Linked DNA regions of Mytilus edulis. The protein of the gene in region 3 purifies or fractionates together with the protein of the main gene of each other region. This does not show direct contact. Links are inferred from orthologs where the notes say so. Each region holds a gene or a part of one and is shown on either strand. Other genes may lie near its edges. The genes, in order: ras-related protein rab7, vacuolar protein sorting-associated protein 41 homolog and pleckstrin homology domain-containing family M member 1-like.

What was found.
Region 1: the proteins of pleckstrin homology domain-containing family M member 1-like (region 3) and ras-related protein rab7 purify together in Homo sapiens (affinity purification with western blotting; 5 studies listed by BioGRID and IntAct, with this or other methods). This does not show direct contact. The link is inferred for Mytilus edulis from reciprocal best matches to the Homo sapiens genes PLEKHM1 and RAB7A.
Region 2: the proteins of pleckstrin homology domain-containing family M member 1-like (region 3) and vacuolar protein sorting-associated protein 41 homolog purify together in Homo sapiens (affinity purification with western blotting; 4 studies listed by BioGRID and IntAct, with this or other methods). This does not show direct contact. The link is inferred for Mytilus edulis from reciprocal best matches to the Homo sapiens genes PLEKHM1 and VPS41.

Annotation. Positions count from the first base shown.
Region 1 is NC_092344.1:39,826,999-39,838,729, forward strand, and holds the start of ras-related protein rab7, read right to left. Parts: upstream 4,665-11,731; 5' UTR 4,624-4,664; coding exon of another isoform or gene 4,568-4,623; 5' UTR 4,401-4,567; intron 1,939-4,400; coding exon 1,886-1,938; intron 1-1,885. Other genes in the region: EEF1A lysine methyltransferase 2-like, read left to right, coding at 4,568-4,623, 5,888-5,953, 7,358-7,475, 8,680-8,787, 11,192-11,426.
Region 2 is NC_092345.1:99,527,582-99,538,478, forward strand, and holds the start of vacuolar protein sorting-associated protein 41 homolog, read right to left. Parts: upstream 6,743-10,897; 5' UTR 6,690-6,742; coding exon 6,666-6,689; intron 2,543-6,665; coding exon 2,489-2,542; intron 1,941-2,488; coding exon 1,845-1,940; intron 1,320-1,844; coding exon 1,236-1,319; intron 1-1,235. UniProt on the Homo sapiens protein: Plays a role in vesicle-mediated protein trafficking to lysosomal compartments including the endocytic membrane transport and autophagic pathways. Acts as a component of the HOPS endosomal tethering complex.
Region 3 is NC_092356.1:60,482,694-60,494,286, forward strand, and holds the start of pleckstrin homology domain-containing family M member 1-like, read right to left. Parts: upstream 5,308-11,593; 5' UTR 5,147-5,307; coding exon 5,113-5,146; intron 899-5,112; coding exon 778-898; intron 1-777. Other genes in the region: POC1 centriolar protein homolog B-like, read left to right, coding at 5,353-5,469. UniProt on the Homo sapiens protein: Acts as a multivalent adapter protein that regulates Rab7-dependent and HOPS complex-dependent fusion events in the endolysosomal system and couples autophagic and the endocytic trafficking pathways.

The DNA.
Region 1 (11,731 bases), on a different chromosome or scaffold from region 3:
GTCAACTGACCATTTTGGTCATGTAGACTTATTTGTAGATCTTACTTTGCTGAACATTATTGCTGTTTACAATTTATCTCTATCTATAATAATATTCAAGATAATAACCAAAAACAGCAAAATTTCCTCAAAATTACCAATTCAGGGGCAGCAACCCAACAACCGATTGACCGATTCATCTGAAAATTTCAGGGCAGATAGATCTTGACCTGATAAACATTTTTATCCCATGTCAGATTTCCTCAAAATGCTTTGGTTTTTGAGTTATAAGCCAAAAACTGCATTTTACCCCTATGTTCTATTTTTAGCGGTGGCAGCCATCTTGGTTGGTTGACCAGGTCACGCCACACATTTTTTAAACTAGATACCCCAAAGATGATTGTGGCCAAGTTTGGATTAATTTGGCACAGTAGTTTCAGAGAAGAAGATTTTTGTAAAAGATTACTTTAATTAACGAAAAATGGTTAAAAATTGACTATAAAGGGCAATAACTCCTAAATGGGTCAACTGACCATTTTGGTCATGTTGACTTATTTGTAGATCTTACTTTGCTGAACATTATTGCTGTTTACAGTTTATCTCTATCTATAATAATATTCAAGATAATAACCAAAAACAGCAAAATTTCCTCAAAATTACCAATTCAGGGGCAGCAACCCAACAACCGATTGACCGATTCATCTGAAAATTTCAGGGCAGATAGATCTTGACCTGATAAACATTTTTACCCCTGTCAGATTTGCTCTAAATGCTTTGGTTTTTGAGTTATAAGCCAAAAACTGCATTTTACCCCTATGTTCTATTTTTAGCCATGGCGGCCATCTTGGTTGGTTGACCGGGTCACGCCACACATTTTTTAAACTAGATACCCCAATGATGATTGTGGCCAAGTTTGGTTTGATTTGGCCCAGTAGTTTCAGAGGAGAAGATTTTTGTAAAAGTTAACGACGACAGACGACGGACGCCAAGTGATGAGAAAAGCTCACTTGGCCCTTCGGGCCAGGTGAGCTAAAAATAATCCAATATATGTTGTACATGTATCATTTATGTGTACTTTGATTCAAAACAAACATCATTAATAAATGACAACGGAAATGTATCAATTGTTGTAACCACAACCACATCCTCTTTTCCTCCAATGTGACATCACAGAATACGAGTAGTAACGGAATTTGTACAGACATGTATATGTACATGAGCAACTGGGTAGGCAACACATGTGGAGCAGAATCTGACTGCTAACCCTTCTGGACTCATAAGAACACCCTCAACTTTTGGTAGGGGTTCATGCGTTTGAGTGTTTGAATTGATAACAGAAAACAAGAATGTGTCCATAGTACACGGATGTTCTACCCCCACCATCATTTTTGATGTTCAGTAGACCGTGAAGTTTGGGTAAAATATCTAATGTGGCATAGAAATTAGAAAGATAATGTCATAGGGAACATGTGTACAGTTCTACATTAGGATCTTACAATATACTATTACTAAAGTTTTTTTTATATGAAAAAAATCATTTCGGGGATTTGCCAAGACAAGGTTCAGATGCTACTTCTTGAACATGAAGTTTCATAACATTTGCTCTTGATACAGTTTTTTTTAATCCTTAACAATTGGAACCTTAACTTCTGTCAAACTATTGACAGTTTTGTAAAATTCCATCAAATTTTGACAAAGTTACAGATCATGATCATGACCCCTAAAAGAAACATGAACCTCATACTGAACAAAAATGTTGACACCATCAAGGAATAGACTGGAATACAGGATTGACCACTGTTTTGCTGTCAAGAAAACTCCTCATCAAAGTTGTGATGGCATAAATAAATACAGTATTACTATTACTGTTCATTTACATATTTCTTAAAGTGACTTCTCAACTTACCCACTGTCCCCTAATATAATAACTTTAAGCAAAACTTTTTTTCTTGATGCCATCTGAAAAAATAATAATCCATTAATAAAATTTTGACATGTTTTGTTTTCAAATTACTATAAAAGATATTATTTATTTTTTTAACTTGCATTACTACAAATTAATATTGAAATCTTTTTTTTTCATCTATCTCTATTTTATTTATTTGCATATATGTATACATAGATTCCAAGAAAAATGAAGGAAATTGCAACTTTCAGGCATAATTCAAGCATTTTAACAGAAAAGCTGGTTATCATAGCATATTCTCAATACCGTTGACAGTTTGACACAATAACATAAAGAGACAGCAGCAACCACTGACCACATTCCTGACCTAGTCCTGACATGTACATGACATGTTTACTTTCAGATCATTAGTTTAAGAAATACAACAATGTAATGATGTACAAAATGTGTGGTACATGACGATGTACATCTAAATCAATGTCTTTATAGCCTACTCACATTAGAAACTAGAGGCTCATGACAACCTGAATTTGCCTACCTTGCAAAAAAATGTTATATAAATAATACTTGATATCAATTTTATAGTTAACAACAATCACTTTTCCATTGTGACGTCAGATATTTTGTTTTATGCCGTCCAAAATTTACGGGAATCTGTGTATGTCTATTCATATTACATGTACATAAACGCTGTACTTGTGGATTCATCTAATTTCATGGATTTAGGAAAATCGGTATTTTCACAGATACATTTTGTACATGTATTTGAAATCCTGTTTTTGCCAATACTTGGCTACAAGCATGAAGAAAAAATGAACTTCAAAAACTTTCAATATCGTGTTCCATCTTTACCAATGAAATCCATGATAATTGGTATCCCACAAATAATGTTAATTCCATAGTAAGTTGGTTTTACATGATTATGACTGGTAATAAAACTAATACTCATTGTCTAATACAGTGATGTCCCTGGTGTCCGTGCGGCCAGTGATACTGCGCATTAGCTGATTTCATCATATAAACAAAGTAACACAAATAAAATCGTTCTTGTTATTGTTTTAGCCTTCTGAAGGGATAAAAAACAACAAAACTGATAAGTTCAAAAGTTAGATAATAATTGCAATCCTGTGATTTACAATATTTGGCCAATTTTCGGAAATTCGGGTCCGTTCAAATTTAACCGATTTTTAAATTTTATTTTCACCGGAAGTCACGTTTCTTTGGTAATTGTGGGAAATCTCTTTGAAACAAAATAAATATTTGCCCACTTGAAATGGAATCACATCTTATTTTATCATTTCTTTTGGATATTTCTGGAAATATTTTACATCAATATGCACAAAAATTTGTAATAAAGTAAAAATTTCTAACCAGCGATGAAAATTTCACATCAAAACAGTGGCAGATCCAGGGGGGGGGGGTTCCGGGGGTGCGCACCCCCCCTTTAATTTTGCCGATCAATGCATTTGTATCGGGACATATGTTTTGCACCCCCCCTTTGCCCTGGGTTCCCTGGGTTAGCACCCCCCGTTTCGAAAATTCCTGCATCCGCCGCTGCAAAATTAGGTCTCAAACTCCAGACGTAAAAAATGGCTTCAGCGTTATGACGTGGTAGGAAGGCGTCCAAGAAAAAAAATTAAAATAGCCTTGCCAGACGTCATAATATTTGGACTATACAACATGTACATGACAGTTGGCATATCAGCAGTCGGATCAATTTGATCTACATTAGTGTTTTGAACTTATTAAAAAAATTATTGTTTTCAAATTTTATACCAATTTCAATTTGTTTTAGATGAATGAGTGAATCGGCCTAAAGTAAAGGACAACGAACTGTTGGTGCTTACTGTACAATGTACTGTGAAGTAATAACATCAGCAATGAGAATGATGAGACATATGAAAATTACAGAAAGGCGCAAACATTGGAAAGAGGTCTATGGATGATTCTGAATGATTCAAACGTTAAAGTAGCCATTGTCATGATTGTAGAGCAGCGCCATGATTTCAGACTGAAGTAAAACTGTAAAAATGTATTCAAGTTACTCAGCTACACATATCATACTATTGAAGACATATCATACAATTTCGAGACTGAGCATTTTTCCCCGTGTGGCACAATTTTTTTTCTCATGTCACTCTTTCATTGAAAAAAGAAGAAAACAGACTTGACAATAAATTATCTGGGCTCTAAATGAATCAGCTGATCAACATCAAATTTATTGAGGTCATGTTTCTAGGTATTTTTTTGTGATTTTTTATTTGTGTTATTTACGAAAGTAAAGTCTCCTTCTTTTGCAAGAATGATAGACATCTTAGCAGTTTTATGTATAATCAGACGTTATACAGTTTGTTGATTAGTTTATTTCAATATTTGTCCTGTTGATCAACATTTTAATAAAATAAAAACTAGGTGTCATTGAACAGTCGTTTCTGGTGTTCTTGTGCAATTTTATGACTGACAATAGCGATCAAACTGAAATATGAGTTCAGATCTTACTTCTAAATTAAATTACCTTGTTTTTGTTTGTGAATAAATAGGTTACTTCAGCTGTAAGATCTGTTAATAATCAAAACTCCTACAAAATGGCGCAGTCGCGTGACCCATATTACGTCAAAATTTATTTACTTCCGGAATAATTTTTCGGAAGGTCTCTTACAATATCGACCCAAAGTTGTTGACATGTCAGGTCCAGGGCAACGTGATTTTGAATCATCATCATTAGGCACTATTGAACAGTAAGCACGTGTGCACAAAAGCAAATGCGTTTACTGTAAACATTATGATTTATAAAGTTTTCTGACAGTATGTAATTTTATTGATTATAAGGCACAAAATAGTGATGACTGTAAAGACTATATATTTTTTTTATATATAAAGTTGTCAGACAATGAATGAATGATGGAAATCAACTGATCAAAGGGAGACTGAACCAGTTATTTTCATTGAAGATTATTAACTCCTATCGTTGTAAACTAGTACTATATCATCTCGTACCATTGAAGTTCTACTCGGGTAACATTGCTAACTCCTTTTGTTGTAAATATGGCACGTACACAACACTAGAAGGTCCCTAAGTTGTTGTATTGTAATGTAAAGACTTTCTGACCTTACACTTGTATACTTGGGCATTCTATAGATTACTAAAAAATTATAACAGGTAAGGTTTTCTTCCTTCACATATTCTCAACATGTCAAAATTTTGGTGCCGTGACCAGGATGTCAAGAATATATGAATAAAGGAAGAAAAGTTGCATGTACAGTTTATTTATTTAGAAAGACACTTCTTGACAAGGTGAAACAATAGATGACTATTTAACAGCATTGAGAGAATATCAAAAAGCATATGGATATATCAAAGAACAAATTAAAGTTGGTGGTGTTGTTCTCCTTAACTATGAGTCCACAAGAATTAATTAGAAATTGTTTTTATAACTGAATTTATTTGAGGAAACAATGGATTTGTGAGTACAGCAAAAACGAAATTTAAGTATACTGAAACAACAAGGCTGCATGATAGTGAAACTTTATCCGCAAGAAATTACATGTAGTATGGTAAACGATGATAGATGTGAACAAAGTACTGTACAAGACATCTGTCCAACTTCACTGACGTCAATTATTTACTAAATTAGAGATAAAGGTTCTGAAACGGTTAATTTGCCAGTCATGACCAAATCTAAAATCGATTTGTCCTAAACATTAAATTGGGATTTAGGACAAATTTTTTTTTTTCAGATTTTTTTTTCTGTCATTTCGTTGAGATCTGGTTTCTTAATCACCATTTTGTACTTGTTTTTGTGCTATCTCTTTTCTGTAAAAAAAAAAAACTGCCACTCCAGTATAGTATGAATATCCTGAGGACCTTCCTAAATACAAAATGTAGCTATATTTAATGTCCTTCGAAAATTATTCGATTAATGATCGCTTATTTCTTTTTACCAGTACATTATTAATTCTTATACATATGTCTAAACTGACATCCTCATATTTCTTTTTCAGCTGGGATTCCACATATGAAAAAGAACTAGAAGCTTTTAAAGATATAGGTGATGTTGGAGAGATCTGGTAAATTATTAAATGAAAAACTAGGTTAAGAAAAGTAAAACGTTTCTGCTTTTTCTTGGAAAGGGATTATGTTGTGGCATATTTATAAACATATCTTCTATATTCTTTAATATGCATACATGTTCAGTAGTTTGTTGATGTGGTTCTTACATGTAAGTGTATCTCGTTTCTCGTTTTTTATATATAGTTAAGACCGTTGTTTTTCACGTTTGAATGGTTTTACACTAGTTGTTTTGGGGCCCTTTATAGCTTGCTGTTCGGCATGAGCCAAGGCTCCGTGTTGAAGAATGTACTAAGACTTTGACCTTATAATGATTAACTTTTACAAATTGTGACTGCAGAGATGTCTCATCAGCACTCATACCACATCTTCATATTTCTATATATGATCAAATTATGAATAGTAATAAATCAAATGTTGGATATAGACATGATAGATACTTGAACTTGCAAAGATCAATGTAAGTGAACACAAACATTTAGTATTAATAAATAATAAGAAGATGTGGTTAAATTGCCAATGAGACAACTCTCAACCAAAGACCAAATAATGTAGTAGTCAACAAATATAGGCCTCTGTACAGCCTTCAACAATGAGCAAAACAAACCTCATAGAAAGCTATAATTGGCTTCAATAGCAATAATGATATGTAAAACAATGGAAAAGAGTTAACTAATAGCCTTAGGTGAAAAAAAACATTTGTTTCTTGTTGGTTAAAAAAACAACAATTTTTGTTTATTTATGTCAACTTTATTTTATAACTTTTATTGAGGCTTATATGGAAACTTCATATAATAGCTAAGAAAAAACTATCAATATGATATTGATTGTTTTTTCTTGGCTAAAATGGTTAATAACAAAATTTTTATTCATTGTTATTTTGATAGCTGTCTGTTTGTTTCCATATAAGTTAGCGCATAAGTTTTTGTTCTTCGTTTATTGAGAGATACAAGTGAATGAGATATGATAAGCTGGCCCTGAAATTTCCAAAACTGTAATATTAATCCAATTCCTTAATATTACATGGTTCAATCGATAAATGAAAAATAAAATGATACTGACCTAGTTTAGAATAGAAATTGAAGATGTGATTTCACTATGACATTATAAACATCTTCAAAATTGACATATTGTGAAATGACTATTTTGCACACATTTTGTTGGTAAAACTAGTTATGAGCAAAATGAGGAGAAACTCTTTTTATCGTATCTTTTTCAAGAAAAAGTCTTCATGTTACTTTTGTTTTTGTTTCTGCTGCTTGAATAAATGATGCATACCACAATATTTTAAGTTTTCACATAAAATGCTTTTGATCGGAGGAGAAGAAGTAAGAATAAAGATGCCAAAAATGAAAAACTGCTTATAGAAAGAAAAAGTTCTAATACCTGTTCAATAATTTTAGGTTTGGAGAGGATAGTCAGGAAAGAATACTGGACTGGATAGAAGATAATGAGGAAATAAAATCAGATGATTCCATAATAGATTTAGGCTGTGGCAATGGAATGCTCCTTGTAGAATTGGTAGTTTGCTTATTGTTGTGTCCATGAACGTTGTTTTACATTCTTCTTTACTGATGACTAACATGAGTAAATATATGTAGTGTACTTATAACTTTCTTTAAAGTCAGAAAAAAGTTTTAAAAAAAGGGAAAATTCAAATCAGAAAGTCCCTTAAGTATCAATTGGCAAAATCAAAAGCTCAAACACATTAATCAAATGGAAAATAACTGCCATATTTCTGATTGGTAAAGGCATTTCATTATGTAGAAATTGGTGAATTAAACCTGGTCTTAAAGCAAGCTGAACCTCTCAACCATATCTCTTTAAATGTAATTCATATCTCTAATCACTTTTAAATACATTTTTTGGTTTTATTAGTACAATAGTATTGGCTCTGCCAAACATGACATCACCACTCATTCTTATAAATATTGAAGGTTTATGTTTTTTCAAAGTTACATATAAAGCATTTCCTGAATTTATTAAGATGACAAATTTATGAAAAGTATATATGGTAACAGTAACATTTCTAAATGAAGAGGGCACAAATACCAACTTATATATTCATACTTGTTATAATATATCATTGTAACCCAAAAGCAATAACGCACTGGAAGAGTTGGGATATTCAAAGTTATAATTTTTGCTTTATTGTTAGGATCTTAAAAGATTATTTATTTTTAATACTGATTGACCATGTAATCATTCAGGGGCGGATCCAGCCATTCTAAAAAGGGGGGGTTCACAACCCAGAGTAAAGGGGGGTTCCAGCTATATGCTCCCATTCAAATGCATTGATCGGCCAAAAAAAAGGGGGGGTTCCAACCCCTGGAACCCCCCCTCTGGATCCGCGCCTGTCATTTGTGCCAAGTGCAAAATGGTTAGCTTAACATGTCTCTTGGGATATCCCTAAAAATGTGATAGGGTAATTTTGGAACATCCTATCTGTATGAACAAAGAGTGTTAAATGTACAGCAATCAGACAGTGATCCAAAAAAACATATTTAAACATTACGATCAGTTGATTTTCAGCTATCCATAAAACCTGCTCAGCCACTGATATTAGTATTAAGATATGAAATAAGTATCATCTACATGAACAGAAAAAAAAACTAATCATTACAATTTTGAAATATTCCATGGAAATCATAGTACATGTAGATATAAAATGAAAAACTATATTAATAATATTAACAGATATATATATATGTTTTTTATACTTTAGAGCCAGAGAGGTTACAGTAATTTGACAGGAGTTGACTATTCTGAAGGTGGAATAGAATTAGCCAAGTCTATAGCTGTAGGCAGTAATGTTGAAAATATAAAATACGAAGTAAGGATGTTTCACTTTTTATTTTTTTAAATATGATATCAACCTGATTAATTTAAAAGATTGGTCAAAGTAGTTAACCAATACAAACAGTTGTGATGTCAGCATTTAGTTTTAAGCTTTTTGTTATTTAGACATAATTGTTTGCTCTGCAAAAAAGTTATAGAAATTTCAGCTTTCTTGTAGTTTTCATACGACCCCAAAAATTGCGGTTGTATATTGGTATCACATCGTAGTCGGTGTCGTCGTCTTAAGACGTATGGTTTCTGGATAATTTCATTAGTATACCGGTAAGTATATAGAAATCAATAAAATTTTAACACAATGTTTATAACCACAAAAGGAAGCTTGGTATTGATTTTGGAGGTTATGGTCCCTAAGGTTTAGGAATTAGGGGCCAAAAGGGGCCCAAAACCATCATTTATCTAGTGTCAGGACAATTTTAGTAATTAGAAATCAATCAAATTTTAACACAATGTTTATAACCACAAAAGGAAGCTTGGGTTGATTTTGGGGGTTATCTAAGGTTTAGAAATTAGGGGCCCAAAACAAGCATTTATCTAGTGTCAGGACAATAAGTTGTGTATAAGTTTTTCAATTGTTCTGAAATTGTACCCATTGTTTAATACCATAAGTAATAGGTTGGGATATATTTTAAGGGTTATGGGGCAAACAGTCTAGGAAAAAAGGACAAAAAAGAGGCCAAAAACAAGCATTTTTGTAGTTTCAAGACAATAAATTGGAGTTATCTTTCTTTGTCCAGAATGGTTGTTGAATCACCTAAAACCAATACTTTATGAAATCTTCTTTTAAAATTGGAGTTATCTTTCTCTGTCAATATTAATAGTAATTGAATCAACTTAAGTCAATGCTATATACAAAATACAATGCAATATTCACTTTACTACCAACTGATAAATTAAAGCAATCTTTACTATCAGTGATTACAAGCACTTTGATTACCATTCTAGGGTAATGCCCCTTTACAAGTGAAAAAATTGAAGATTTTTTTTTTTTGTTTCTGTTCTCTTAACTTAAGTTTGTCTTAACTAAATTTAATGAAATGGGTATGTAATGCTTATAACCTCTAAACTCAGTTTAAGTTCAATTTTTGGCAGCTTCATTTTTACAGTTGTTAAGTTATGTCCCTTTATAACGTTATATGCAAGCAGGGACATGTCTGTGTTCCTTTGGACACATTCCCCATATATTTTTTTAGAAGTTACTATTAATTAATATTAATTTTAACCATGACTGTAAGACATTTTATATTTTAATACTTTATGATGTATTTAAATGAGTAGTTATTGTTGCAAACTTCATAAGTACTTGAATTGAGATCATTTTTGAAATTAGGGAAAGGGGGAGGTGGAAAAAAAAATTGGGGGGGGGGGGTCAATTTTTCTCATTTCAGATTTCAGAAATTAAAAAGAAAATTTCTTTAAATGTTTTTTTTTGAGAGGATTAATATTCAACAGCATAGTTAATTGCTCAAAAGCAAAAAAAAAAATTTTTTAAGTTCATTAGACTACATTCATTCTGTGTCAGAAACCTATGCTGTGTCAACTATTTAATCCCAATCCAAATTCAGAGCTGTTTCCAGCTTGAATGTTGTGTCCATACTTGCCCCAACCATTCAGGGTTCGACCTATGCAGTCGTATAAAGCTGCGCTCTGCGGAGCATCTGGTTCATAAAAGCAGTCAATTTATAATTAACTCCTGAATCTTTAATAGTTATATGTACAATCTGCTTTTAAGAAAATTAATTGTTATGTTCCATTATTGTTTCAATGTTAACACAATCCATTGATTTATCCCCTTATAGCAATTGATTGGTTAAGTTTAACATATATTGCTGAGATATATTTTCAGCCTTTCACATTATAGTTATACTTTTTAATTTAATGTATTTGCTTTCCATTGTTTTGTCAGTTGTCTCCCCTGTCACAATAATCTTGCATTGCAATCCCAATTCGAGCTTTTGTCACAATCTATTGGCTATTCTTAATTCAACTCATGTTTAAATCTTTGCTGTATCATCTGTCTCAGCCTTTTGCATTATACTTTTTAATTTAATACTTTTATTATTTTTTTTAAACACATTATTAATTCATTTTCTTAACAGGTTATCTCCCTTGACACAATCTGCAATTTGTCTGTTATTTTAAAAAGTTTGTATTCTCTTCTATTATCATCTTCATTGATAAATCTTTTGAATCAATCAAAAATATTCTGTTTAAGTCGAATAAGATCACTTAACTTTGTTCATTAGAACGAAAAAAAATCAGGAATTAATGGATTTTTTGTCTATTTTATTTAAATCTTGGCTGACTAAGTGCTGTTATTTTGCAATCCAAGATTACAGTAGACTCTCATAAAACATAACATGTTGATTTTTATTTTTCAGGTGGCAGATTTGATTTGTGATGATGCAAACAAGAAATACACCTGTCTTGGTCATACATATAAAGTATGTGTAGATAAAGGTACTTATGATGCAATCAGTTTGATGCCTTCAGATGAAATACCAGCACGACAATCCTACCTCCAAACACTGAAGAGGTTAATGTCTGATGATAGCGTCTTTATCATTACTTCTTGTAACTGGACACAAGATCAGCTTGTAGAATTCTTTGGATCAGGTATGAAGATATTTTTGTATCACTTGACGGAGTCAAAAGGCGAGACATAGGTTTGCTGTTTCTGGCGGCGACGTTGGTGTCAACAATGTACACATCTCATTGTCATGGAGACTTTTTCGGCCCTGCCCTCTCAGTCATGGTCAATTGACCTTGAAACTTTTGCTTATCATACATGTATTAGTTTGTTATTAGGTCAGTTTATGGGGAACCACTAGTGGTAGATCAATGATATTTGGTATGCAGTTGTATAAGCTCTGGCATATCTCATTTCCATGGAGATTATTTGGCTCTGCCCTCTTAGTCAT
Region 2 (10,897 bases), on a different chromosome or scaffold from region 3:
AACTTCACATATATTTTACCTCAATAGCCTGAAACATCAAAATCATAGAATGTTGAAATATCTTGATACTGATTTAGTTTATATTATAAAGGAATTAAAATTACCTGACTTTGTACATTAAATTAACCTCATATACTATAAATGTACAATTTTTGTGTCCTCAAAGTCATCAAATTGTTATTCAAAGAACTTTATATTTTACAATGAATAGTTATGCTCTTCAACTTTCTACTTTATTTTTTTTAAGCTTCACTGATAAGCCTGTTGTAGATGAAATGTGTGTCTGACATACAAAATTTAAACCCTGTTATCTATAATGAGTGAATTATTCACAATGTTTGAAACTACAAACTCAAAATCTATGAACCACTGATTAAACCAGATGCTCCGCAGGGCACAGCTTTATACGACCGCAGAGTTCGAACCCTGAAAAGTTATTGTGCGAAAACCAAGAAAAATGCTTATTTGGGCCCCTTTTTGGCCCCTAATTCCTAAACTGTTGGGACTTCCAAAATCAATCCCAACCTTCCTTTTATGGTCATAAACCTTGTGTTTAAATTTCATTGATTTCTATTTACTTATACTAAAGTTATTGTGCGAAAACCAAGAAAAATGCTTATTTGGGCCCCTTTTTGGCCCGTAATTCCTAAACTGTTGGGACCTCAACTCCCAAAATCAATCCCAACCTTCCTTTTGTGTTCATAAACCTTGTGTATAAATTTCATTGATTTCTATTTACTTATACTAAAGTTATTGTACGAAAACCAAGAAAATGCTTATTTGAGCCCTTTTTGGTCCCTAATTCCCAAACTGTTGAGACCAAAACTTCTAAAATCAATTCCAACCTTCCTTTTGTGGTCATAAACCTTGTGTTTAAATTTCATAGATTTCTATTCACTTATACTAAAGTTATAGTGCGAACACCAAAAGTCTTCGGACGACGACGACGCCAACTTGATACCAATATACGACCAAAATTTTTTCAATTTTTGTGGTCGTATAAAAAAACACATAAAGTAAAATCCAGAAAATGACTTTGAAAAGAACATGTACATTTATCATGTGCAGAATGGTTATCTCTCAATTATAAAGTGTTGGGACAATTGTATTCATGAATGTGAATTTAATAAGACTATGCTACAATATATGTCATTTTGGTTTTATGTCATAAAAACTGAAATAAAAAATACTACATTATTACAAAGAAAGTAAGTCAGATTTTATTATGTACATACTGCTGTAATTTCTGTATCCCTGATATGACATCCAATGTGGTCTAAAATATATATCATACCCCAGTGTGTTCCTGCAGCTAAAAACTGGATAAAAAATATAACTTAGCTGTATTTAGATGAAAATGATAAACATTAGGATGGAAACCAAAAATATCTTTCATAGCCACACATCATTATGCAAAATGTTTAATATGACAGTAAGGTATATCGTTTTCAGGAAATTATATGAACTTTTAATTGCTTTTTCAAATCTTGTTTTATATTTAACATTATTTTGAAAATGTAATGGTGTCATTGTGTTGTCATTTCTAACTATCAAAACTATAAAAAAAACTGACAAATGTATATATAGAAATACAATGTAGCAACTTTGGAGGACAAAAAATTGAAGGCAGTCAGTTGACCTTAGGATGTTGTGTGATTTCTTAATGTTGTCCTGTTGATATCACTTAAGAGTATACTTCTTTGATTCATACGAATATACATCAAGATAAACTTCTTAACTTTTTGGCAGGAGATTCTTTTTGAATTTTTGATCAGAATCTTTTATTCCTTGAGATCAAAATTCTGTACCAAACCTGCCAGACCATGACTGAATGTTTGACATACCTTAGAGTGCACAGCTAAACAGCTTATACAGTCTTTCTTTAATATATCTACTAAATCATTACTAATTCTTTCATACTTCAACTTAGGTTCTTCTTCCTGAAAAAATATTAACATTCATCTGTAAACCGGATAAATTCAAAGCTACAGAGATAAACCTAAATTTGTTGTGGAAACTGCAGATAATAAAAATTATTTAACATGTCAGCATAGTTCATCTTTTCCCTATAACAAGAAATGATTATCTTTAACTATTAAATTTAGTAACATTTTTTGTTTCTTTCAATATAATTCATATGGAATGTGAGTTTTAATCAAGAAATGGTTTGTTCTCTGTAATGTCTTGGCTACATTAAATCAAAGCTGGTGTCTTATAGGTCTGCTTCAAAGTGAAAAGGTTGTTAATTTTTCAATTAGAATCAAAATAACTCTGTCATGCAACACTCTTTGCTTATTTCAACATCATCATGGGTAAATATTCATAACAACTGTCAACATTAAACACCTCATTGACTTCACTAACACTCAGTATAAACAAAAATGCCAAATATAATCACAACCCATGTTAAAATGAGCTTAATGCATGACATGATAGATGAATGAATATTTCTTAAATAAAATAATCAGAACTTTGTCAAACATCTTACTTCCTCTGACTCGTCTGATTCTGATTCATCTTCTTCAGTACTGTCCTCAGTTTTCTGAAAATAAACAGAATCATATAATCAAAGAGCAGATTGCTCTGAGGGATACAATTGCCGTTGTTTCATTGACACGTGTATACATGTAGCTGGATAATAATATTTCCAAAACTGCACATTTAAAATAGTTACAAAATAGCCAATCACGGATAAAAGTGTATGAACAATGTAATCAGGCCTATGTTTTATTTTTGTACAATCAATTCCAAGTTTACTTTCCACAGCAGTCACTGAGACTCAGACTGAGAGAAGGTATTTCACTTCGTATCTTATCACCTATTTTCCTACGTTAATTCTAGGAGGAACCCCATTCCTAACTCTTTAAATATTTAATTCGCTTTAAATTGCGATCGTTTTTTAATATAATACGACGTTTATTGACAGAAGAGCTAATACTCGACGTGTTGTTTTGATTCAGAATTTACGGAAGTTACTTCCGGAAGGGAGACAACTCGAAACCATAATATGGAAGACTCCATTTCGCCTGAAGGGGTGTTCTACAATGAGGACTACATTTATTTTAATTTAAATGATGCATATGATTTAAAATTATGCAATAACAATAACCTTCAATAGCAGACATACATAGAAAAGATTCCACGAGTTATAAATTAATTAATTGAGTGGAGAATCCAGAGCAACCATTCAATCTAAAACCCCTAGAAGTCAAGAAAAAAAAAACACATGCGCATAATTTCCAAAACAAACCCTGGAGCAAGAACGTATATTAAGTGTTTATTTATAAACAACCTAGATGGTTCTCTATTTCTTCATGGAAGTACAATCTCAAAATTCAGTTTCATAACGGTAACATACAAGACAAACTCCACTTCAGTTCTTAAATGACAGAAATAGATTTATCGGAATTCAGAGAACTCTCGCATTTTATCAAAACTGGGAATTCCCTCTGACGTGTTTCTAAATTTATAAAAATACTAAATATAAATACTGCTTAATTCTGATTTTCCGTGTTGTTTAAAACACGCATATAAGTCAAGGGAATTATCAAACATGAAGATTATGAAAAGAACATTATAGTAAAGTTCAATCCCTTTGTTTGTTTTTACCTTTTAAAGCAAGACAATCATAAGAATCTGAGATGTTCCTTAATGTTTAGAATAAAACGATTGACGTGAGGGCAATGCTCTGAGCCACCGTAAGTCTACAGATTGCTTGAAAGCAATTGTATCCCAAAAATATGAGAATTTTATGGCCATTAAAAGTGTATTATGCAGAGAAACCCCAATGAGCTGTCAAGTTTTTATAAGGCAAAATAAAAATATATGTGTGGCTCCAGTTACCCTAAATGTACCTACCCTAAATTTTAGTCTTAAAAATAGAATACCTAAAGATTTGTCTGTCATTTTTCATTAAGAACTGTTAAACATGTCAAAGTCAGAATGTTGCTTCCATAAAAAAATAACATAAAATAAAATAAAAAAACCTATCTACATTGTACCAACCCTGACTTTTTGTACGATGTAACTGGAACTACGCATACTATTTTATTTGGCCTAACAGTGGTAAGAATCCATATAGAGCTTCCAAAACGGTTATATATTACTTACAAGTCCGATAAATTATATAGATGACTTGTTGTGCCAAGGCTAAACAGTCATTTTAAAATAGTTTAGAGGAAAAATAGACATTTTATTATAGTTCAGAAAAAAAAGTTTATACGATCTTTTTGACCTGACCGTTTGCCTCAAATAGCTACACATTTCCGGTCATATAAGTGACATGATTAATAATTACTATCAAAACAATCCGAATTCTAATACCCTATCCTTAGGGACGACATCAAAAGTTCAATGTAGGATAAAAAACTTTTAAATTCACATAGTTTTTTCACTGAGCCCCCCACCCCCCTCTTAACTTAATTTGGGAAACATTGATTTACCAATAGGGATATATGTAAAAATCGATTTAAGATAAACAAAACTTGCAGAATTTTAACCCCCCACCCCCAAACTATTTGATTTAAGTTTTTTATCCTACATTGATCTTTTGATGTCATCCCTTACAATCAAGATTAATTATTTTCTCTGACAGCTTATTTACCTGTTCAGGCGACAGGTAAACTATTTTGTACAGGACATTGATCTATTATTAAAAGTTCATAAATTTCAGGGTTTTTTTTCTAATTAATTAATCCAAACAAGATTCATATTACCAGAAAACTTATGTAAATATGATTTGATGAAAATTTGAAAAAGTAGTAATAAAGTGTTTTTTAGAAAAATTGTCAGGACCCTGTTGTTTGACCTAGTACACTCATGCGTATGTGCGCAGGTGTGAGATTAAATTTTGCATTCGAAATTTTCAATAATGCTAAAAAATATCATTGATAAAACTGAAAATGGAAATAGGGAATGTGTTAAAGAGACAAAAACCCGACCATAGAGCAGACAACGTTCTTGTCGAGTCTTTTCTTGTACAAAAAAATGTGAAAAGATCTAATTAATCTCAATCGTGCTATTAAAACGAATACCAATTTTACATATCCATGATATCCGTCTCTAGTCCATGTTTTACCAATGTCAAGTCAACATCCAATAATAGGAAAAGTACTTTTTTTTTTAAACCAAAGTAAAGATATTATTGACAGCGTAATTTTGTAGAAAATAAAGAGTCTTACACAGATATAAATACTCTGATGTTGCACAATGCTAATGGTACACTGCCAATTTAAAAGTTAGTGTCAGAACATCAAATTTATATCAGAAATCAAATCAAATACTGTTTTTGTGTTAATCATAATTCATGATGCCCAACTGATTACTATGGTTGCTTTTTGTTACTAAGTTTTAAATTATGGGATTAAATCTGAATAAGACAAAAATGTTCGGCTGGCTCAAATATTTTTGGAAGCCCTGTATACATATGTTGTAGAATGGATACAGGGAATCAATTAAATTAGCACTATATGTGGCTATACAGTGATGCTTATAAGCCTTCAGGTGACTTTGCTGTCACTATGCTGTCTTATATATCATAAAAACAAGTCTAAACAAGTGACAAACCATACAATATTATATATATGCCCACTGGATCTCAGAGTGATTTAGATACATAGTTAATACAAATATTTATATAAGTCTGAAAATTACACCCAACAGTGTTAGAGTTAGATTTTCTACTGACAAATTTTTTGTCTGTCCCTTAGCAGGATTCAAACTCACACCTTTGATACACTACAGCACCAATTGCTGAAGCCTCATGTCCGGCGCTCTCGACCACATCCACTATATAAAAATATAACTTCAATAGTGGTAGTGTTACCTTGTCACAGAAGGCGAATCTAGAGATAGACATAAGACACGTGTTGATTAAGCGTGTAATATTATTATGTAGCTACAGTAGTTCTGTTTGAAAGATGAGTTCTTATAATATATTGGGTACATGTATGTTGCATAGTCCCAGTGTTGTCCCCCATCAAACAACCTTGATCTTATCCTTGAAAGGGTACAGCGAAAAACATCATGTTTTGTCTACAACCAGTACAGCAACACTTTCCCAGGACGTTGTCAGATCAGAGCAAAAAAGGAAGTTCACATCAACTCCTTTTTCCAGCATTTTATAAAGACTAGTACTGGAACCTACATTGTACTGCCAGTCATAGTAGCAGCTGCACCAAGACTTGAAGAGTTCATGCAGGGTCAGATTAGCCAATGTACCCTGCCCAAAGTAGCAGCCTCACTAGGCAATAACTGGCCACTTTGTATACAGTCACAGCATAAATAGCTTTAATTTAACTATTTAGATTTGAAATACTATTTACTTTTATTCAAGGACAATGATGAAACTTGCTGTTTTACCGTGCAGGTTGTTAAATCACTCAAGTATGAGTTCAACTTCTTACTGGAAAATGTAACAGGGATAAATTGAAACACATAATGTGCTTAAGTTATAATAACTGAGTTTGTCAAGGAAAATATAAAAATTCTTTTTGCAAAACCCAAATTCTAATAAAGGGTGAAAACTGGAATTGAAAACCTCCGCTACATGTCCTATGTAGACAGGCCATACCACTCTGTTGCATTTAAAAAGCTCTGAGTATCTATCATTAATTAATGGTTAAGGTACTCATGTTGGTAGATTGTATTTTCATTTTGAGACAAACCTCAAACTCATCAACAGACGCCATTTTGTACAGACTTCAAACGCAGTCACATGACTTCAGGATGCGGTTGTTTCATTTGATCAAATCAAATTTAAATCACATTGAATTTGTCAGAACTGACTCAAAGTAAATTATTTTCTTACTTTTGAAACTGTTTTTTGATCATTTATTTTAAATACAAATATTTATCTGAAGCACTATATTTTTCATCCGTATTAAACAAGGCACCTGTGGGCTATTCGGTCAAATCAATTAAACAAGCAACTTCAAGTCATATTTTTAAGAAGCAGTGAACCTATGAGCAAATTTTATAAATATTGATATAGGATCATGTATAATGGTTAGAATTTATGGTAATCATTTTTTCTTTATTTATATAATTTTCTTGTATTCCTCATTGGTAGCCCCAATCTATATTTGGAAACAGTAACATTTTTGTAAGCAATATCAGTCCGCTGAGTCATAGAACTATTTTTTGTCGTGGGTCAGGTAGGTTGGGACAGCTAATCTAATATTTATTTATGTTGATCAAAAATTAACATAATTTATTATAAAGTCCACGTGCTTTCATGTCAATACACAGTTCATAAGCTGCAATTTGTGACATTAAAGTAAATCATGTAAAATATTATTCGATTTCATAGTTTAATGCAATTATTTGCGTGCATTCCACTCCAGGCTACAGAGAAAATTTTAGGTAAGAGATGCTGATTATATTTGGTTTGCATATATTATTTTGTATATATTATGGCATTTTATTATCATAATTTATCAAGTAAATGCGCAAAAATTATGAAAGTGGATGAAAATTGAACGTGGAAATGGCAGTTATCTCCGTCTTTGTCTGGCATCAAATGAAATTATTGATTTTTTTGGATGCCATTCTATTCTGATTCAGATGCTGAGAGGATGTGAAAACTAGTAAGAATGGATGCTGACAATTGTGTGTCTGTTGTCATGGATATAATAAAAGTAAACAAAATAATAAGAGCTAATTCTTAGCAGAGAACATAAAGATTTATTTAAAAAATATATATTTTAATAATTTTATGTTTAATATTATGAATCTTGGTTTAAATGATGCAGCTTTTTTTGTAGGTTGTTCCAGATTGTCATTTTTAGTAACTTTATAAAAACTACTATTAACTCTAAAGAAAAAATATCATATGACTAAAATAAAATGAAAACCTGAAGTAAAGATTTAATTTTAATTATTTTATATTTTTGGGGTGGAAAAGGGGGGGATGTATTAGTTTTTATTGAAATAGAATTATCTGTTCAATATATTGTGTTTATACTGAGTATTGCCTTGAACAATTTGAAGGAGAAAAAATATATGTACATGTAACTAAAAACTAAAGAGGACTCTGAGAGTTGGAACATAATATGTAGCTAAAAAAAACCTACATATTAGTCTAACCACACTCTGGGAACTGTGAGTGTTGTATTTAGTTTAGTTTTATCTTTAAATATGTAGCTAACAATTTGTTGGTACATATGTAGCTAAAAACTCATATCAAAGGGGAGAATTTGTATACATGTAGCTATAAACTAAGGAGGGGAGTAGTATATGTGTCACTAAAAACTAAAGGGGTTGGTAAGTACAACCACACTCAGGTATCTTGTGAGTGTTGTTGGTATTTTTGTTATAAATATCTTTTTTATTCATAATTAGAGAATTTTCATATAAGGCAGATATTTGCAAGTCTTTTTCATAAACTTGGAGCAATTAACAGTTCAGTCTGTGCCACAATCTACTAGTTGGAAAACTAAATATCATAACTTGTCATTATATGACTATATATAATTTTGAAAATGTTCACTAGTCTGAAGCAATATTTACTACATGTAGTCTGGGGCATCAAACTAGTGGCTAACTGTACAGACTGCAGTTTATCCTACAGTGATTAAAATTGTCTCCCCTTATTAACTCAATGACTTTATTTTTATTCTTCCATCAAGTGCTAAATTGTTTAGAAATTAAAGTTCCAATATAATTTTGGTGTTCATTTATTGTTATACATGCATAGGTATTGTATTTATTACTTTTTATATGACCACAAAAAAATTTGCGGTCATATATTGGTATCATGTTGTCAGCGTCATCGTCAGCCTCATCTGAAGACAGATTGTTTCCGGATAAAAACTTAAGTATAAGTAAATATGTATCAATAAAATTTTAACACAATGTTTATAACCACAAAAGAAAGATTGGGATTGATTTTAGGGGTTATGGTCCCATCGGTTTAGGTATAAGGGGTCCAGAGGGGCCCAATACATACATTTATCTAGTTTCAGGACAATAAGTAGTGTATAAGTATTTCAATAACTCTGAAATTGTACCACAATGTTTATACCATTAAGTAGAAGGTTGGGATATATTTTAAGGGTTATGGGGCAAACAGTCTAGGAATTAAGGGCCAAAAACAAGCATTTTTGAAGTTTCAGGACAACAACTTATGTTTAACTGTATGGATCTCTCTGACATTGTACCACAAGGTTCCATATAGTGAAGGGAAGGTTTGGTGTCAGTTTAGGTATCCCTGAACATTTAGGAATAAAGGGCCAAAAAGAAGCATTTTTCTAGTTTACAGACAATAACTTGTGTTAAAGTGTATGGATCTCTCTGAAATTATACTAGAAGGTTTCTTACTACAAAGGAAAGGCTGGAATTGAGTTTTGGGGTTATGACTCTAAGGGGGGTTTCAATAAGTGAGGGGACAAAAAAGGGGCCCAAATTTTAAAGCATTTTTGTAATTTTCAGTCAATAACTTGTGTTTAAGAGTATAAATCTCTCTGAAGTTTCCATACCCTAAAGGTGGTCATTAAGCAAATAGTGGAAAAAGGGGGGAAACAAGGGTTTTTCTGTTTAAAGGACAATTTAGACAATTTAAAAGCAGTGTAAGGGAGGTAATCCAATTCAAATTAAAATTTAAAGAATACTGTTACATTTGTATATATATATGTTTGATTACCTCCCTTACACTGCTTGAAAATTATGTTAAAGGAAGTGATAATTGTCTTGAGACATGAAGCTGTAAATTTATTTTTTAGAGGTTACTGTTAATTGATATTAACTTTAATCATGACTGTAAGTTATTTTATATTTTAAAAATTTATGATGTTTTTAAATGAGTAGTTATTGTTGCCAACTTAATTAGAAATTTGAATTGAGATTATTTTTGGAATAAGGGATTGGGGGGAGGTGAAAAAAAATGGGGAGGTTTAGGGGTAAAATTTTTCTCATTTCAGATTTCAGAAATTAAAAAGAATTTTTCTCAAATATTTTTTTTGGAGGGGATTTATATTCAACAGCATAGAGTATTGCTCAAAAGGAAAAAAAAATTCAGTTCGTTAGACCACATTTATTCTTGTGTCAGAAACCTTTGCTGTGTCAACTATTTAATCATAATCCAAATCTCAGAGCTGTATCAAGCTTGAATGTAGTGTCCATACTTGTCCCAACTGTTCAGGGTTCGACCTCTGCGGTCTTATAAAGCTTGGCCCTGCAGAGCATCTGGTTAAACTTAAATTAATTTCGTATGACATTGTGAGTGTTGCTGCTCGACAATTTTCACTGAGCATGGTAAAAATCCTTTTTATTTGTCATTTTGATGCACTGTTCCCTTTTTCCCTGTGATCTTTTTAGGTTTTCTAGGTATTAAAAAGCAAAATTGAACTACTTAGGCCAAATTGAGCTACAAATATCTCTATAATATGTTACTTTTCAAGAAAAATCCAATTTTCTGCATTAATATTTTGAAGTAGAGCCTAAAATGTTAATACAGGGATAATAAATAAATGTTTTGATTTTGTCTGAAAAAAATAACTTTATATCAATCTTGAATTATTTTTCCACAGTAAGAGGAAAAGAATTATTGCATAATTATAAGATTCAACCATTCTTTTTCTTAATATATATAGGAAGATGTGGTATGAGTGCCAATGAGACAACTCTCCATCCAAATAACAATTTATAAAAGTAAACCATTATTGGTCAATGTACGGCTTTCAACACAGAGCCTTGGCTCACACCGAACAACAAGCTATAAAGAGCCCCAAAAACTAGTGTATAACCATTCAAACGGGAAAACCAACAGTCGAATGTCTTTAAAAGTTTCAAAATGCAATTCCAGATAGCCAATGAGAAACAGGGATTTCATTGAAAAATCACTGTAAGGACGACTTTATATAGCCCATTTATGGAGCTTTAAATTACAAAATAGAAAATG
Region 3 (11,593 bases):
TCCAATTGTGAACTTTCCATTTCTAAGTAGCAACATTCCAGCAGCACCTGCATACGGGGTATGTATCTCCCAATTGATACGATATTCCCGTGCTTGCATTTCCTATCATGATTTTCTTGATAGAGGGTTACTGCTCACAAGGAAGCTATTAAACCAAGAGTTCCAAATGGTGAAGTTGAAATCATACCTTCGTAAATTTTACGGACGCCATCACGAGTTGGTTGACCGTTATGGAATAACCGTTTCACAAATGAAATCGGATATGTTCCTTACATCGTAACTACAATCCCCTTCCCTTTCATGAATGTGACCTACCGAATTAGACTATTAACCGGATTTGTAATCACATAAGTAACACGACGGGTGCCACATGTGGAGCAGGATCTGCTTACCCTTCCGGAGCACCTGAGATCACCCCTAGTTTTTGGTGGGGTTCGTGTTGTTTATTCTTTAGTTTTCTATGTTGTGTCATGTGTACTATTGTTTTTCTGTTTGTCTTTTTCATTTTTAGCCATGGCGTTGTCAGTTTGTTTTAGATTTATGAGTTTGACTGTCCCTTTGGTATCTTTAGTCCCTCTTTTGTAACTGTATGATAATTATTATCATGAAATTTTCAACATGTTCAAAATACAAACCCAGTTATTTCAGGCACAAATCAATGCAGTGGTACCAGATATAAGACTCACATTATTATGACACATACTAAAAATAAGTTCAATATATGAAGATGTTTAGAAAATTGGTATAACTGATATTTTCACAAAACGGTTCACTTACCTAAGGATTGCCTCCCCTGTACTACAATGCTCTTGTTGTAGAGATTTAATTGCCGAAGATAACTCTGATGATATCTTTCTTTTTATCTTAGTTTCTCGTATGATTTCATCTCTTGTTGGTCCTGAAAAATATGAAAAATATTATCTGTTATATCCATCATAAATCACTTTTATTGTAAATAAATAGCTTTATAAGGCGAATATAAAACATGTAAATAAATTTAAAAAAACACATTTCAAACAATATTTTATACATGAATACGCCAATTTTAGGCCACCAGAAAGTATGACCCAACACATCTTGCTTAACGTCTTTGTACCTTTTTTTTAATACATGTTCTCAGTTGTTTAAGGAGCCTAAGCAGTACCACAGTATTAAAGTTATGGTTTATTATGTGTTTGGTATGCTTGGTCTTTGAAAGTCACTGCTTATTTGGAGATTTCTTCTGATCAATGAGTGTAGGATAGGGGTACTGCTCATGCACTGATGCAGAGCTGTAACTACTGATGACGGTTTGGGGCCGCCCCTAAAAGATTTTTTTTTCTCTCAGCAAGGATTGTTATATCCTTGTTCTCAGTAAAAAGGCTAAAAATGACCCATTTTCCTTCGATTTCCTTACTTTAAGAAACATCAGTATTGCTTGAACCTGGAAGCATTTTTTATGCAAAAACAAGCTGAGATTGTTGTTCGGGGTTAACCAAGGCTTCGTCTTGGAGACCATACTTTAACCTATTATTGTCAACATTAAATACATTGTGACCGCGGATTTTTTTTCTCAATATGGCTAAAAATCACCCGTTTTCCTTCGATTTCCTTACTTCTTAAAAGAAACAGTATTGCTGGATCCTTGAAGAAATTTTTATGTAACCAATTATTATCTGTTTTTAAATACATTTTTGTTAGGAATCAAGCTGGTAACTTAAAAATACATGTAAAGTAAGTTCATAGAACGCAAGATATTTTTTTTATTGAGGACCTTGAATTTCAATATTGTTGAAAGCTCAGAACAGACATGTATATAACTACAACCAGGGACTTTCTACTAGTATATACTTAGTATAGAAAGTCACTGCTACAACAATTAGGAGTGTTTTTAAAACTACTAAGGCATTGACCATAATATTCTCTTACGTTCGGAAGACGTTAAAAAATGACCCAACAGCTAACAATCGGCAATGAATTTCCGATATCATAAAAGATTCACAATACATTATATATAAGGGAACTTTCTCTGCTTAATTGAGCCCCTAAATAAATGTGAATGGTTTTAAGTTTTATTCAATTTTGTCGAAAGCAAGGTTTTAATCATAGATGTGTTATCGTAGCCACACGAAAAAAAAAATTAAAAAATACTGAAACGGTCCAATTTCGATAAAAAAAAATCCGGAAAATGACAGATATCACGTATTATGATAAAAAAGTTATCAAAGGTACCAGGATTATAATTTAGTACGCCAGACGCGCGTTTCGTCTACATAAGACTCATCAGTGACGCTCATATCAAAATATTTATAAAGCCAAACAAGTAAAAAGTTGAAGAGCATTGAGGATCCAAAATTCCAAAAAAGTTGTGCCAAATACGGCTAAGGTAATCTATGCCTGGGATAAGAAAATCCTTAGTGTATCGAAAAATTCAAAGTTTTGTAAACAGGAAATTTAGAAAAATGACCACATTATTGATATTGATGTCAACACCGGAGTGTTGACTACTGGCCATGGGCTATTCTATTCTATTCTACCATATAGTGACCGCCTTCAACAAATTGAAGATTATGTCACAGGAGGAAACTTACAACAAGACATAGATTGGAAAAATGTACAATTTTTAAAAAATAGGAAAAATTAAAAATTTAAAATGTTTTGTATAATAAAGTAAGATGTTGTAATTAAGTTAATATTGATGCTTTGAAATTGAAGATTTGAAAGAGTCGACTGAAGTGCAATTTACAATGTTGTCCGGTAGTTTGTTCCAGTCGGTGATAGTTCTTGGAAAATATGACTCTTTTCTGTACTGTGTTTTGCAGGATGGAATTTGGAAGCTGTTCGAATTTGTATGTCTTGTTTGTCTTTTTTGTGGAATTAATTTATTTTGTTTAGGGATTGCAACCTTTTCGTGTTCAATTTTGTAGAGCATTACCAATCTGGAGTCTTTTCTTCTGTCAGAGAGACTGCGCCATTCAAGATGTTGTAACATGTTACCAACGCTTGAGGTGTTTCTGTATTTGTTAGTAACAAAACGCGCAGCCCTCCTTTGAACTTTTTCAATGCTATCTATGTCTTGTTGTAAGTATGGATCCCAAACAGAGCAAGCATACTCTAGTGATGGTCTTACTAGGGACTTATATGCTTGCTCTTTAATGGATGTTGAACTTATGTTCAGGTTCCTCTTTAGAAAGCCTAGTGTGCTATTAGCTTTCTTGCATATGTTGTTAATATGCACATCCCATTTAAGGTTTGAACTGATGGTGACCCCCAGATATTTTGCTGTTGTTACATGTTCTAAAGAATGATTGTGTAATGTGTAGTTAAATGTGATTGGTTTTTTATTTCTGGTGACTGAAATTACATTACACTTATCTGGGTGGAATGCCATTTTCCAGGTAGTTTCCCACGATGCCAGTTTGTCAAGATCTTTTTGTAGTGTTAATGCATCGGAGTTTGATTTTATTGCCAAATAAACTATTGTGTCGTCTGCAAATAAACGTACTGTAGATGTTAGACCAGATGGAATGTCATTAATATAGAACAAGAAAAGACTTGGTCCAAGAACTGACCCCTGTGGAACCCCTGACTCAACTGCAACATACTCAGATTTTTCCCCCTCTAGAACTACTGCCTGTTTGCGATTGCTAAGAAAATTTTGTATCCAGTAATTTAATTCCCCCTGTATCCCGTAATGATGAAGCTTATTAGTTAAAAAAGAATGTGAAACTTTATCGAATGCTTTAGAAAAATCCATGACCAAAATATCTGTTTGTTTACCATTTTCCATGTTTAGTGAGACATCGTCTATAAATTCTAATAGTTGTGTTTCGCAGGATCGATTTCTGCGAAATCCATGCTGTAGGGGATATAAAATGTTGTGATTATCTGCATGTTTCATGATGTGTTTTACTACGATGTGTTCTAAAAGTTTGCAACAAATACATGTGAGTGATATAGGACGGTAGTTTTCAGGGTTATATTTTTGGCCTTTTTTGTATACAGGAGAGACATGGGCAGTTTTCCAGTCATCTGGAACAACGCCTGTTTTGATTGACTTCTCAAAGATAATAGTGAGTATGGGTGCAATTTCATGTGAAAGTTCTTTTAAAAATCTTGGTTTAATTTCATCTGGTCCTGCTGCTTTGTTTGGATTTAAGTTATGTAAGAGTTTTTGTATACCTTCTGTTTTTATTATTAATTTTGATATGGGTGGAAAAGAAGTATTCTGTGGCATGTTACACTGTTTGACAAATTCTGTATGAGAAATATTAGATGCTGGTGTAAATACAGACTGGAATTGTGCGTTAAGTGCCCCAGCTTTTTGTAGTGGAACACTGGTGAGAACACTGTTAAAACTGTAAACTTGTGTTGTTTATAACATAAATTCAAGTTCTTCGTGTACATATTGTCAATATTTCATTTGATTACTTCAAGAAAAAAATTTGGAGTAGAAAATTCAGGGCAGCAATGCCTCCCCTGCCTCATAGGTACATTCATGTAGTTACGGCCCTGATTTTGTATTTTCAACTGAATGAAAAATTACAAATAAGTGTTACATACTGGCTTTTATACTAATATGATAATATAGACTGTAGTACCATAAATTTAATAATAATAGAAATTATGACAGGTGTTTCTTTGAGGGTTCGAATCCCGCTGGTACCATCCATGGATTTTCACATCATTGGCGCTGTGAGCAATAATTACTACTTGTACAAACAAGTGTTATATAGGTGCCTGGCAGTTAGATATGGGGTCATGGTGGTTGACCAGCGGTCATAGGATGACCATGACATATCTAGGTGGAACTGGCCAGAGGATTTCCGAGTAGATGTCTCGGGGTTGTACAGGTAGTGGACCTGTGAGTTGCTCGGATGGATGGTACGCAGCCTGAAAAAAGAAAAAGGGGAAGAGTGTTGTAGACCTGGGGATATAAAGGTAGTCTAACTCGCTGAGTTAGGGAAGATCTTCTTTGGCTCAATTGGTTAGAGCGCTGCCTTTGGATCCCGAGATTGAGGGTTCGAATCCCGCTGGTACCATCCATGGATTTTCACATCATTTCTTCGACTCTGAAATTATGCTACATTTTGTTTGAGATTTAACAGTGTTTTTAAGTGTTCCTCAAATTACCACGCTTCTTGAAAATTTTCCCTGAAAGACTCATTAGTTTCTAACATAACATGTAAAGACTGATAAACATAAAAGATCATATATAAGTGCTTTGTTATTCTGCGTTCCTCTCGTGATGGGTGTTCCTACAGCTGGTTTATTTATTTCCGGTTATTTCGTCCCTCTTGACTCTTCACTCCTTAAAGTCGACCAAGCTAGAAAAATTCGAATGTTGGATTCTCCTTAGCTTCCGGTTGGAAAATGGCTTCTGCTAGGACAGGTGCCGCGTTGGAACTTCGTAAAATTAGGAAGAAAATTCGACAGATTGAGAATCTTGAAAGTCTAGATAGAGATTTGACAGATGAAGAACTCAACAAAGTGGGCATTTTTTTGTTTTTCAACTGACATTGACCATATAAATATACAAACATAATTTTAGACCAGTAAATTTTAGAATTAAACTTATTATTTTACTTGGCATAACATTATTCAATTCAATTCAATTCAATATTTTATTGGAAAGAGCACAATAGAGGCGTGATCCAAATACAGTCAATTATAATTTTAAAACAACACATAAATGAAATAAAGATTCATGTAACAAGTCATGAGCCAATTCTATGTATATCCCCGAGGAACCAGTAATGACGCACCTAACGTTGTGTTTGTCTCTGCATTTAATCTACCATTTAAAAGAAAAAGAAACACGGAATAGAATGAAAGATTGATCACTTGTTAATGTATTTCAATCATTAAACAGTTGATTTTTGAAACAGTAAAAGCAATAAAAATCATGTTTGCTAACATTACAAACGGACTGTCAACTTATGATGGGTACCAGTAATGACGCACTATAAACAAACCAGTAAAAACCACTTGCAGTGTACCTGATGTTCGAAAAATTGCTTCAATCCGGATAATTTAAAGTTAACACTTTTCAACAAATTTAATTTTAATAACAAATTTTGACATTTACAGTCACTTTTATGATCATGTTGATAGCAACACAATTTTTTTCATTAATTTAATTGTAACCTATATTTTATTTCAAATTTTATATAAAATTGTTCAAAATTTATCAAAGTGACATATATATTCCATATACTTGAAAATAAGAAGTAATTGCATTCATAAAACAACATTGACATTAAAACATTTATCAATGTATACTTCGTACAATGAATGAAAAAAATCGATAAACAATAGAAAATTATATAAGCGACGATCATTTGTTCTACAGTGATTCCCGCTTAAATGTAAAACCATGTCACATGACAGTCATATGATTTGAAAAACACAAACTGGGGCAGCATGTGCATACATACTTTTGCCGGCCAAAGTGGATTTAGGACTGATAATCATTCTGGGAAGGGTAGACTGTTTTTGACCTTAATAAAATGGCAGAAATTGCATTATCTTTACTAATTCAAGCAATAATAACATTTCTGGACAGAGTTTGAGGCATCTATGTTGTAGTCATATGACCTTCACCATCATGTTATGAATAGTAATTATCGATGACGTCACATCTTTTGTTTAGAAATATAAAACCCAAAACTAAATTGGTGCGTCATTTCTGGTCCGCGTCAAAACAGGTACCAAGACGATACAAATACATTATAAACTGATATTGATACCATAAACTTATATTTCAGTATTATTCTAGATTTTCATATATTTACTTAAAACACACAATATAAGATAACATTAACATGTATGATAAGATGAGGTTAAATGCATTTAACTGCCAATGAGATAAATATCCTCTAGACACTAGATAACTTAAGCAAGTGTGTGTAACTGTTCTGAAAATAACAAGAAAAACCTGTACTGGATAGCATCTGTTGTATTCATGCACTTTCCGGTAAAATTCATATATCGCAATACCAAGGCCGTAGCTAGGCATCTTATTTTAGTGAGGCGAAAATTTATTTTTGAGGATATGAAATGAATGGTGCAAAATCCTGCATTCTAGGCATTTGTAGAGCGTTTGATAATGTTTTGAATTTGGACACTTTTTATATATTTTTTTTATATTTTAAGACTTTTACTAACACCAAATTTTTAACAACTTTATTTAAATTTATAAATAAGATAATCATCCAAATATCACTGATTTGAGTCTGCTGCCAGAACATAGAACAAACATCGATTCAGTAGAGTTTGCCAAATTTTTCTATGGCCGGTTCAGTCAACTCGTTTCAGAATCATAATTCAGTCTGCTGATATCCTTATCGCGATGAACATGGCAAGCCCACACAATCTCTCGCCACTCATGCATGCTCTTTTTCCAAGTTTTTAGTCGTTTCAGGGCAGTCTGTGTTTCTAAAGGAAGCACATTATCATCAACACAATGATCAATGTCTTCTTCCAATTTCTTCGCCATCAGCAATTTGGTAGCAGCTTCGGTAGTAACAGTTTTGTTTGCAAAAGGGAATTAAGCTTTCCTGTAAGCACCATCATACAGTTGCAGTTATAAAATATTAAACTCGCTTTTATGCTGACAAAGAGTAGACAAACTAGGGATAGAATGAGATAAGATAAATGTATATGATTCTATCTATAGAGTATATATGATATGGGTACAGGGGAATTGGAATGGAGTTTTTGACGTTTACATATAGGTCCATAATTTCAAATTATTTCTGAAAATAGTTCCAGGGTGGTATTTTAGTTCCAGAATCTATAAATTTAGGGGTTAGGAGTATGGGGTGTCCGATTCCGAAACCCCGAATATAAAGAAACAAAATTCCGTAGTCCCGAATAAGTAAAGACAAAATCCTGTGTTAAAGGTTCTACCATTTCTCAATAATATCAAATTGGAATATGGGCTATTCTTTCAATTTTTAAGGTTAAAGAAACATGGATAGAAACTAATCCATGCATGTTTCATATTATTTATATTTTATTTATCTGTAAAGAGAAAGATTAAAGTTTGTGAAATGAATATGCAGACAGGACTGCCCCCTTGCAATGACTTGATTTGTCAAAAGTTGGTGAAACGGAGAAATGAATACGCAGACAGGACTGCCCCCTTGCGATAATTTGATTTGTCAAAAGTTGGTTAAACGGAGAAATGAATACGCAGACAGAACTGCCCCCTTCCGATGACTTGATTTGTCAAAAGTTGGTGAAACGGAGAAATGAATACGCAGACAGAACTGCCCCCTTCCGATGACTTGATTTGTCAAAAGTTGGTTAAACGGAGAAATGAATACGCAGACAGAACTGCCCCCTTCCGATGACTTGATTTGTCAAAAGTTGGTTAAACGGAGAAATGAATACGCAGACAGAACTGCCCCCTTGCGATAATTTGATTTGTCAAAAGTTGGTTAAACGGAGAAATGAATACGCAGACAGAACTGCCCCCTTGCGATAATTTGATTTGTCAAAAGTTGGTTAAACGGAGAAATGAATACGCAGACAGGACTGCCCCCTTGCGATAATTTGATTAGTCAAAAGTTGGTTAAACGGAGAAATGAATACGCAGACAGAACTGCCCCCTTCCGATGACTTGATTTGTCAAAAGTTGGTTAAACGGAGAAATGAATACGCAGACAGAACTGCCCCCTTGCGATGACTTGATTTGTCAAAAGTTGGTTAAACGGAGAAATGAATACGCAGACAGAACTGCCCCCTTCCGATAATTTGATTTGTCAAAAGTTGGTTAAACGGAGAAATGAATACGCAGACAGAACTGCCCCCTTGCGATAATTTGATTTGTCAAAAGTTGGTTAAACGGAGAAATGAATACGCAGACAGAACTGCCCCCTTGCGATAATTTGATTTGTCAAAAGTTGGTTAAACGGAGAAATGAATACGCAGACAGGACTGCCCCCTTGCGATAATTTGATTTGTCAAAAGTTGGTTAAACGGAGAAATGAATACGCAGACAGAACTGCCCCCTTGCGATAATTTGATTTGTCAAAAGTTGGTTAAACGGAGAAATGAATACGCAGACAGAACTGCCCCCTTGCGATAATTTGATTTGTCAAAAGTTGGTTAAACGGAGAAATGAATACGCAGACAGAACTGCCCCCTTCCGATGACTTGATTTGTCAAAAGTTGGTTAAACGGAGAAATGAATACGCAGACAGAACTGCCCCCTTCCGAATACCAGTACTTGATTTGTCAGTCTACTTATCGTTTTTGGATTGTTCTAATGAAGTTATATACAATACTCAGACTCTGTTCCCAAAAAAACTAGTGTACTAGAATTATTCCTTCTTTACCTTCAGTGTCACTTTTCCTTTTCTGCAAGAGCCTGTTTTTAACTAGAGATCCATGATGATTATCATTACTGGGTTAATGTTATCGAGAAACATGACCCGTTGAGATGCTGAGTTATATCCAGGAAGAATAGTTTAAAAGGAATGATCGGACAAGTTATATAGAAACTGAGACTACACATGTGTTATAGTAGTCTCAGATAGAAATTAAGGTTGAGACAGAACAACAAATGGCTATTATATTGATATATATGTATAAAAAAAATAATCAGTGTCGAAATTTTAGTGAGGCAATTGCCTCACTTGCCTCAAGGGTAGCTACGGCCTTGAATACACCATATCGCTATTCCCTACTGACCTGGCTGCTTGAACAATTGACGTCATACAACAATCACTTTTCCATTGTGGCGTCAGATATTTTGTGTTATGATGTCAAAATGTTACAGGAACCTACAGTTGTGATATCCATTAATGACTAATGGCGGACAAAAAGCCATAATAGTCTGAATAGTCCAGATACATGCAACTATGACACCTTGGAAGTCTCATGTAATATTTTTCTGTGACCCCTTCCTCTGAGATGTCATAGTGCTGAAACCACTTTTAAAAAAGTATTCAAACCAACCAAATACTTCCACTATTGCAGGGTTTAAGCTAGGATTTTGAGGGCTTTAGTCACTGTTGCGCATTATTAAAATCAACCTTTTTTGTGTAGCAGAAAGGGACCAAGGATATATATTACTAGCTTCATCTTTGACCTTGTCAGATTTTAAACAGGTCGAGAACTCTAGGTTTCTTTACGTCAGAATATATTTGCATAGTAATTTCCCAAACACAAGGCCAATACGACCTTGAAAAACTGACCAATCGACTCAATGAGCTACAATGCATTGTGGGCTACTACAAGTTTACTACAACCGGAAAACATGTGGAATTAGTGGAAGAACTGTCAACTAATATAGTGTCTGGGATCTTCTAAATATATGGTTTTGTTCTGCGAATGTGATTATTGTAAAATATATAACATAATCTTCAATTTGCATGCTCAGATTAAAAAAGTATTGTTTATGGGCTTCACTATTCGACTTTCTTTTTCGCCTTGTTAAAGTTGTTGAACAGGTTTTTTCCCATTGTTATGCATTGTACCTGTGCAATAATTTTACGACCTGAAACAGTGAAATTTCAGATGAAATGACCACTTTCCACTACGAAATTTTTTGAGCTCTTTTAAACCTGTATTATGTCATTCCAAAATCATTTCTGCCTAGAAAAACACGAAAACTTTCATTGAAACACTTCTTTCTGTACTGGATGTGTATTTGTTTTATCAGGACCTGAACTGAAAGTAAGAACATCATAATATTCAGTATGCTTAAAATAAGTGTTATGAAAGCGGCAGGGCGGATCCAGTCATTTTAAAAAGGGGGGTCCTAACCAAGGACAAAAGGGGGGATGGGGGTTCAAACTACATGTCCCCATTCAAATGCATTGATCGTTCAAAAAAAAAGGAGGGGGGGCGAAAAGTACGCTATAAATGACCCAAAAATTACTTGTGTAAAACAATCTAAAATAAAAAACACAAAAAAAAAAAGAAAAAAAAAAAACCCGGCCCAATATCAATCATGTCAATGAATATAATATATAAAAGGAGAAAAAATCTATCTAATAAATAAAAACGTATATAGGTTTGTATATATAGGAGCCTGTATTTCAGTGGTTGTCGTTTGTTTATGTGTTACATATTTCGTTCATTTTTTTATATTATTAAGGCCGTTAGTTTTCTCGTTTGAATAGTTTTACATTGCCATATCAGGGCCTTTTATAGCTGACTATGCTGTATTGGCTTTGCTCATTGAAGGCAGAACGGTGACCTATAAATGTTAATTTCTGTGTCATTTTGGTCTCTTGTGGACAGTTGTCCCCTTGGCAATCATACCACATCTTCTTTTTTATATTAGATCCAGCGCTGCAATTTTCACAAAACATATCAAATTTTCAACCTCGTCGCACATACATATAATAACATCATTACAGCTTATTTCTTAATGCATGTAGAGAAAAACTTTGGTTAGTTTGTATATTGTACAATCATATTAGGATAACAACCAATTAAATTCAAATATGAAATATGCAAGTTAAACTATGCCTATATATATTGTTTAAAGATATCAATCTTATTTTCAAAGCTTGTATGAACAACTACATGTATACACACAAAGCAAGCAAGCAAGCCAACCAAAGTTTTACTTTGCAAACATTAGGAAATCAGCTGT